Linked DNA regions of Callithrix jacchus. The protein of the gene in region 2 purifies or fractionates together with the protein of the main gene of each other region. This does not show direct contact. Links are inferred from orthologs where the notes say so. Each region holds a gene or a part of one and is shown on either strand. Other genes may lie near its edges.

Evidence for each region.
Region 1: the proteins of ARHGAP12 (region 2) and TJP2 purify together in Homo sapiens (co-immunoprecipitation; 3 studies listed by BioGRID and IntAct, with this or other methods). This does not show direct contact. The link is inferred for Callithrix jacchus from reciprocal best matches to the Homo sapiens genes ARHGAP12 and TJP2.

The regions. Positions count from the first base shown.
Region 1 is NC_133502.1:95,851,738-95,855,562, reverse strand, and holds part of TJP2 (tight junction protein 2), read right to left. Parts: intron 2,690-3,825; coding exon 2,477-2,689; intron 1,319-2,476; coding exon 1,208-1,318; intron 1-1,207. UniProt on the Homo sapiens protein: Plays a role in tight junctions and adherens junctions. Acts as a positive regulator of RANKL-induced osteoclast differentiation, potentially via mediating downstream transcriptional activity.
Region 2 is NC_133508.1:31,608,152-31,611,976, forward strand, and holds part of ARHGAP12 (rho GTPase-activating protein 12), read right to left. Parts: intron 692-3,825; coding exon 566-691; intron 1-565. UniProt on the Homo sapiens protein: GTPase activator for the Rho-type GTPases by converting them to an inactive GDP-bound state.

The DNA.
Region 1 (3,825 bases), on a different chromosome or scaffold from region 2:
GCACCAAGGGTGCATGAGCCGGCCCAGAGGTGAGACCCAGGTCAAGCTGAGGAATGAGACTGGGGTGGGGAGCAAGGAGAGCACGGCTTCACACTAACAGCGACTTCTCCTTCATACTTCCAGTCTTGTCTGGCTTGTAAATTTTCACTGATGCATTTTATGAGGTCATATTATTATTACTCAGGTCACTTATTATTATTATTACTCAGAACCTATCATATTTACTACTTCTGACAGCTCACAAAATCAATTATTGCTTTCTTCTTATCTAAATTATTGAGTTAGGCCGGGCGTGGTGGCTCATGCCTGTAATCCCACCACTGTGGGAGGCCAAGATGAGTGGATCACCTGAGGAAAGGAGTTTGAGACCAGCCTGGCCAACATGTCAAAATCCATCTCTACTAAAAATACAAAAATTAGCTGAATGTAGTGGTGTATGCCTGCAAGTCCCAGGTACTTGGGAGGCTGATGCAGAATAATCACTTGAATCCAGGAGGTGGAGGCTGCAGTGAGCTGAGATTGTGCCACTGTACTCCAGCCTGGGCAACAGAGTGAGACTCTGTCTCAAAAAATAATAATAAATAATAAAATAAATTATTGAGTCAAATAGATTTTATTTGTTTATAAGGAAAAGCATAGAGTCATTGCTCTGATTCTGACTGAAGGTAAATAATATTTTGATTACATAAAGACATAATCTTTGTGTCTTTATATTGATTCTGTTCTTGGTAATAATTTATTAAACAAATAAGCAGCTCTCTTAACAAGAGGCATTGCAAGCAATGTTGATGATATTCTCTTTAGCAAATCACCAGTAAGAATTATCTGGTGCATCTAAATCAGTCTGTGGGCAGAAAACTTTAGCTGGACAGCAAAAGAAAAACAGATTCTGCAATTGGTGATTCTGGGCATGCAGCATTTTTAAAAATCTTTGTCTTTACAATCTTTTTTTTTTTTTTTAACAACAAAAAAAGTAGATTAAACAAACACTAACAGTCCTAAAAGTATGTGCTCTCCTAGTATTGCCTTTCCTTCCTTTTTTGCCCTTCCCTAATTTGAGGGTTCACCCAACAGGCCAAAAGACTGACTAATGAGTTACAACTGTAATTAAACACCATCTTATCAGGCATGCTCCTCCCTGGCTGTCCAGGACCCCAGAGGCACCTGCTTCCTCTTGCTTCCCATCCTCGGCTTCCCAGCCACGTACCTTGGGTGGCTCTGGCTTGAATGCTGGGGGCGGGCTATTGTCCCTAAGTTGATCGCTGCTAGCAGCCCTCCTCATCTGAGCTCGTGGCTCTGGGCTGGGTTTCCTTATGCTCTACAAGACATAAAGGTTTATTCACAACAAGAGCATACAAGCAGAGAGAACAGAGCACTCATCTGCTTTGCAGGAGTTCTGCAAACTTGAGTAAGTTCAGAAGCTGAGGTCCTGAGCCGGTACTTCTTTACTGAACAGGCAGACACCATCACCAAATGCTTCAGACACATTTTTAAAAAGTGGCTGCATCCAATGTAGAATCTTTTCCTTTAAAGCACATTTTTCAAAGAACCCTCCAAAAGCCTAAAATCTCTTGTGTCACTAACAACATCTAGTCTATAGACATCTGGGAGTTAATTTATTCTTTATAGTTTGTCTAGCATAAACTAATTTGTTGCTGTGGTGATGGTGTATTTTTCCCCCCCTTCAGTTTGTTGTTGTTGGGTCTTTTTTTTTTTTTTTTTTTTTTAAATAGTTCTATTTCAGAAAGAAAAAAAATCATTGACTGGAACGAGCTAAATTGGTAAAGAGAAATCCACAGCAATAATTATCCAAATATACGCCCAATCTCATCTACAAAGATCATTTTATTCCAACATTCTCTGAGGTGCAACTAATAATTGCTCTGGTCCTAACCTGGCGGTGACTTTACAGTGTCTCTCAATGTATAAGGATCCTGTAAACTGTTTAATCACAGTGGATGCACAGTACATGTGATCAGATGAATGTCTGATCATGAACTCAATTAAAAAACTGAAATATAAAAGAGAGAAGGAAACTGATAGGGAAATACTCAAGAGCTTTGGCAAGATTAGAAAGGTTAAAGGCAGGATGGGGAAGGAAAGCAAGGACATCTAAGAGTACAGAGAGAAACCTAATCAAAGGTTACAAGCACATACAACAATACTGCATGGGAAGGAATGTTCCTCTGGTAATTTGGACAGCTGACACATAAAGCCATTCTGTTTATCCATCACGCCTGAGGGCGTGGGTGTGAGGAGTGCTGACCACTCAAGCTCTTCTGAAACCCACCTGCCTGCCCCACTCTCCCACAGACTGCAACCATGCCAGTGTGGACTCAGAGCGAGATACCCTGGAAGTCATCTGCTCCATCCCTTAGGAACGCCTTCCACAGCACCCTGAACACACAGCTGTCCATGAGAGTGCAAGGAAAACACCAGGCTCTCCTGCTCCTGCCCGTGGCCTGCCTCGCCTCACCTCCTCGTGCTGCACCGGCTCGGAGGAGCGGGTGATGGACGACACCAGCGGCTCCTCGGCTGGCTCATCCAGCTCATTGTCAGTGTAGGCGCCTCCTTCGCCGTCCGTGTCTTCAAAGTCACTGATGAGGCGGCTGTCGCAACTCAGATAGTCCGCGCCCATGGCAGTTAAGTAGGACATGCGGTCTTCGGGGTCATCATCCATCCCTTCCATCTAGAGGAATTTGTGTCGGAGGGTCAGTGGGGTCTGACATGGCTCCAGGAGTGTGGCCTCAAGAAAATTCCCAAGGGCACAGCCAAGTGACTAAAACCCCAATGTGCTCGCCAGGGAAGGCATCTTTCATTTTTCTCCCTGAAATCACTTGGCGGCTTTGGTACTATGCTCATTTTTGTGCAGGAACTCGAATTAGGGGCCCGGTAGCCTGTCTGTGCTACCATCCATACTCCATACCACGGCTGAGCCATACTCTCTCAGACTGTCTTGCTTTTCTTCTGAATCCAGCTCCTCTGCAGCCTGTTCTTCTGGGACCACTCTCCTAGTAATATTAACACATGCACACTGCCTTGTGTACACCCCCATCCACGACTCTACAAGATTCTCAGCCCCTCAAAGGCAGAAGCTATGTCCTGCTCAACTTGCTCTCCCCAGGGAAGCTTGTGAAGAGTCATCCAAACTGGAAGCATTCCATAGATGCCCGATACTTTGACTAAACATCTAGTTCTCAAAGAGCAAGACTTAGTCAATTCTGCAACAAAACAGTCACTGTAAAGTCTCACCAAACTACCTCAGTTCAGCTGGTGTACAGGATACTAGCACCAAAAGCTTCTAGAATAAAAGGGGCCACAGGTAATAGAATCTCCCTCTTTCCTCCCTACAGCACAGCTGCATGTTTGAGCTATCTCCACCAGGAACAAGCGATCCAATTCTAGAGGCCTAGACAAATTCCCTAATGCTCCCACATCACCCTTTCAAACTCTCAGAACAATGGCACATTCCCAACACAACTCAACTTTTATTCTAAGTAATTCCGACTCTATTCGCTTTTCTTCTTTTTATTAATTTTTAGCCATATTCTCCAAGTTGCTCAACCTCACCTCTCATCTGCACTCTAAGTTTCCCACGTCCTTAGTAAGCTGTGGAGCTCAGCATGAGATCTTGTAAGCTCTGATTAGTGTACTTGGAATACAACACTAGTTACTACGTTAGAAGTAAAAGGGAAGTGAATGTAGGGCTGCACACATCACATTCTGCTCTTCTTTTAAAAGTCCCTTCATTTTTATTACTTGGTCAGAGAATTTATGAAATTTCAAACTTGATTAGGACACATGTGAGCATCACTTCAAATGGGA
Region 2 (3,825 bases):
TTAAAATATCCATTCTAATGTTTGCATTAAAATTAATCCCTATAAACAGAGAACATGACTTATCAGATTGATAATAGAACTGCCTTCTGCAGAGAGCACTTAGAGAAACAAAGGGAACAGAATTCCAATATTCCCTGGGATGAGGAAAATTAATTAAATGTCTTCCCTAAGAAATCTCCTAGAGACTGAAGACAAAGGATACAGAAATGTGACTTTAAAATAAGGTAAGCAAGAAAAATCTGTCATCTACTAGGATCAAATGTATCAAGGTATACACATCAGTAAGCCGCAGATAATTCAGTCCATTGTGCAAAAACCAAAACCTACTTCATGACAAACTGATGCTAAATACATAAATATGTAGTCACTAAGGTATGCAATTTGGTTAAAGAAAAAAATAATGTAGAAACATTTCAATATACATGCACATCAAGAGCTTAGTTTTAAAAAAATCAAATGCTTTAGAAAATTATATTTATTAAATACATAAAATATTAGTACAAATGGTTATAATTCACTGTACAATATAATGCAAAGAACTTGCCAAAAATCTCAACAGTCCTACCTTGTCATTAGTGTCCAATACAATGGTGCTGTGTCTCCACTTTGTTAATACTATTGGCTCTTGCAGTCGCCTGTCCAGGCTCCTACTTTTAATTATTTCTCTTTGCTGCTGGGATGAAGCATTATACTAAAACAAAACAAAGCAAAAAACATGAAATGTACTTCATAAACAATAGGAACCAAAGTGGAATCTAAACATCCTGGCTCCAAATGACAATAACTGTTAGGCAAAGTTCATCATATAAACATCTCCATAAATTTTCTAGCCTCAGTTTTCTCATCTTTAACCAGAACTGTGGCACAATTCAGAAGATCAGACTCTGGTGTTACAGAGACCAAATTAGTGTTATCTTTGGCAAAATATCTAATCTCCCTCAGTCTAAGTTTTGTCAACTGTAAAGTAGGTATAATAGAAATATCATCTAATTCACAGAGTTGCTGTAAAGATCAAAGTATTAAAGAACAAAGTATTAAAATAGTACATTATCAATAAATATTAACTATCATAATTTATAAAAATTGGATAAATTAATTTTTCTACTTCTACTTCTTCTACTAAAATGAAAAAATAAGCATTATTTTAAAAACCTAAACCAAACATTAAATCCAAAATGAACTAGCAAGTTTTTTTTACATATTCTGGATTCTAAATCTTTCTAAGCTATGTGAGTTGAATATATCTTTTCCTAGTCTGTAGCCCATCTTCTCCCCTTTGTTTATGACATCTCCTACATAGAGGTGTTTTGTTTAATTTTAATGTAGTCACATCTGTCAATCTTTCCTTTTATGGTAGGCTTCTGAGTTTTCTTCATGAAATCTTTCCTATTCTTTGGTATATTCTTCCACAGTCTTTATAAAGTTTTACATGTTATATATATTTCTTTAATCTAATCATTGAGCATGAAGTGAGGTCAAGATCTACTTTTATTTTCATTTTTATCATGTGAATAACCAATAATCTTAGTAATATTCTTACTTAGTCCATGCTTACCCCATTGATATGTTTTCTTTTCAGTTGTTGTTGCAACATCTCAGGTGACACAAACCAGTGTGTGTTTTTGTTTGTGGGCTCAAAAGATGTTCCTGTACCAGCCACCTAAACAGCTGGGACTACAAGCACATGCCAGCACACTTGGCTTTTTTTTTTTTTTTAAGAGCCAAATTTTCCCTAACTCCATTGATTTGTAATGCCACATCTGATCTTTATACATGTGCCCTTATTATCCCAACTTAATTACCACAGCTGGAACTCTCTCTCTCCTGTCCCCCACCCACCAACTACTCCCTATACAGGAATATTTTGACTCTTCATGGATATTTGTTTGCAAATATAAATTGCAGGTTCCATTCCCTATAAAGTGAGGGAAAGGGAACTAAACAGAAATGCATTGGACTTGTAGATTAATTTGGACATTGTTATAAAATTCAGCCTTCCAATCCAAGATCATGATGGTATACTGCAACATTTATTTGGGTCTTCCTTTATTCTGCTCTGAAATTTTCTTTATTAAAATCTTACAGATCTTTAATAAACATGTTCTTAGTTACAATTCTTGTTGCTACTGCTGCTAATGTAAATAGTATCTTTGCTGCTATCACATTTTCAAACTTACTTTTTACTAGACAAATGGGTAGTTTTCATGTTAATTTTATATCCAGTAACTTTGCTGAACTCTCATCAGTGTTAAGTTTGCAGGTTCTCTTGGATTTTCTAATAATCAAAAAAACCCAATTGCATCTCTTCCTTTTTAATTCCGTTATTTATTTCCTTTTTTAAATTGTTGAATAGAAGCAGTGATAGAAACGTTCCAGTTTAGTCCCTAACTCTAATGGGAAAGCTTCTGTAATCTCACCATGAAGTATGAGATTTACTGCAGATTATTTAATAGATAACCTTTAGCATAATGTGTCGTTATAAGAAAGTGATTTGCATCTGGCTGCGGTGGCTCATGCCTGTAATCCCAGCACTTTTGGAGGCTGAGGTGTGCGGATCACCTGAGGTCAGGAGTTTGAGACAAGCCTGGCCAATGTGGTAAAAGCCCGTCTCTACTAAAAATACAAAAATTAGCCAGGTTTGGTGGTGCATGCCTCTAAGCCCAGCTACTCGAGAGACTGAGGCACGAGAACAGTTGAACTTCAAGCTCTGCTTGAGGCGGAAGCTGCAACAAGCTGAGATTTCACCACTGTACTCCAGCTAGGGCAACACAGTAATGGTCTGTCTCTAAATAAATAACTGTGATTTCCTTATAGAAGCATATTCTTGGATCATAGTGGTTTTATATCCATTTTGCAAATCTTTTAACAGATGTGTTTAGAACATTTACATTTAATGTAATTATTTATAATGTTAGGATTTAAGTCTAGCATTTTATCATTAATTTTGTTTCTCCTTTCCCACCTTCCTGTGGGCTACTTGAGCAATTTTTACTATTGTATTTTAAAATATCTACAGTTTCTTAAGCCTCTCATTATAGTTTTTTGATGCGTGCTCTAGGGATTATAATATACATAACTTATCAGTCTACTAGTATCAACATCTAACTACTTCAAGTGGAATACAGAAACCTTACCAAAAATTATATCCCTTTACTCTCTCCCTCTTTATGAAAGAGTTATCTTAAATATCATTACTGCATACCAGGACTACTTCAGAAATGTTATAACTTTTGTTTCAAATGTCAAACACAATTTTAAACACCCAGGACAAAAGTCTTCTCAGATATTCAACCGTTCTGCTGTTCTTTATTCATTCCTGATATTCCAAGTTTTCTTATCCCTTCCCTTCTGTTTGAAAGACTTCCTACAGAAATTCTTTGAGAGCAAGACTGCTGGGGATAAATTTCTTAGTTTAGTTTCATTCTGAAAATGTCCTTATGTTACTTTAATTCCTGAAGGGTATTTTTGCTGCAGAAGGGTTCACAGTTCTCTTCTTCCAGCATTTGAAAAATGTTATGCCACTTCTTTCTGGCTTCCCTGGCTTCTGATAAGGCACTCACTTCAGTCAAATTATTATCATCCTAAAGGTAATGTGTTGTTTCACTGAGAGGCTTTTAAGACTTTGTCAGGAGGAATGGGGTTCTTAAGATTTCAGAAATTTTGATTATCATGAGCCTGGATTTTGGGTTTATCTTATTTGGTGTTTATTTAGCTTCGTGAATCTACTGGTTTGTCTTTTGCCAAACTGGGGCGTTTTCAAATACTACTTCTTCAAAGTATTTTTCCGCCTCACACTCTTTCCTTTCTCCTTCTGGAACTCCAATG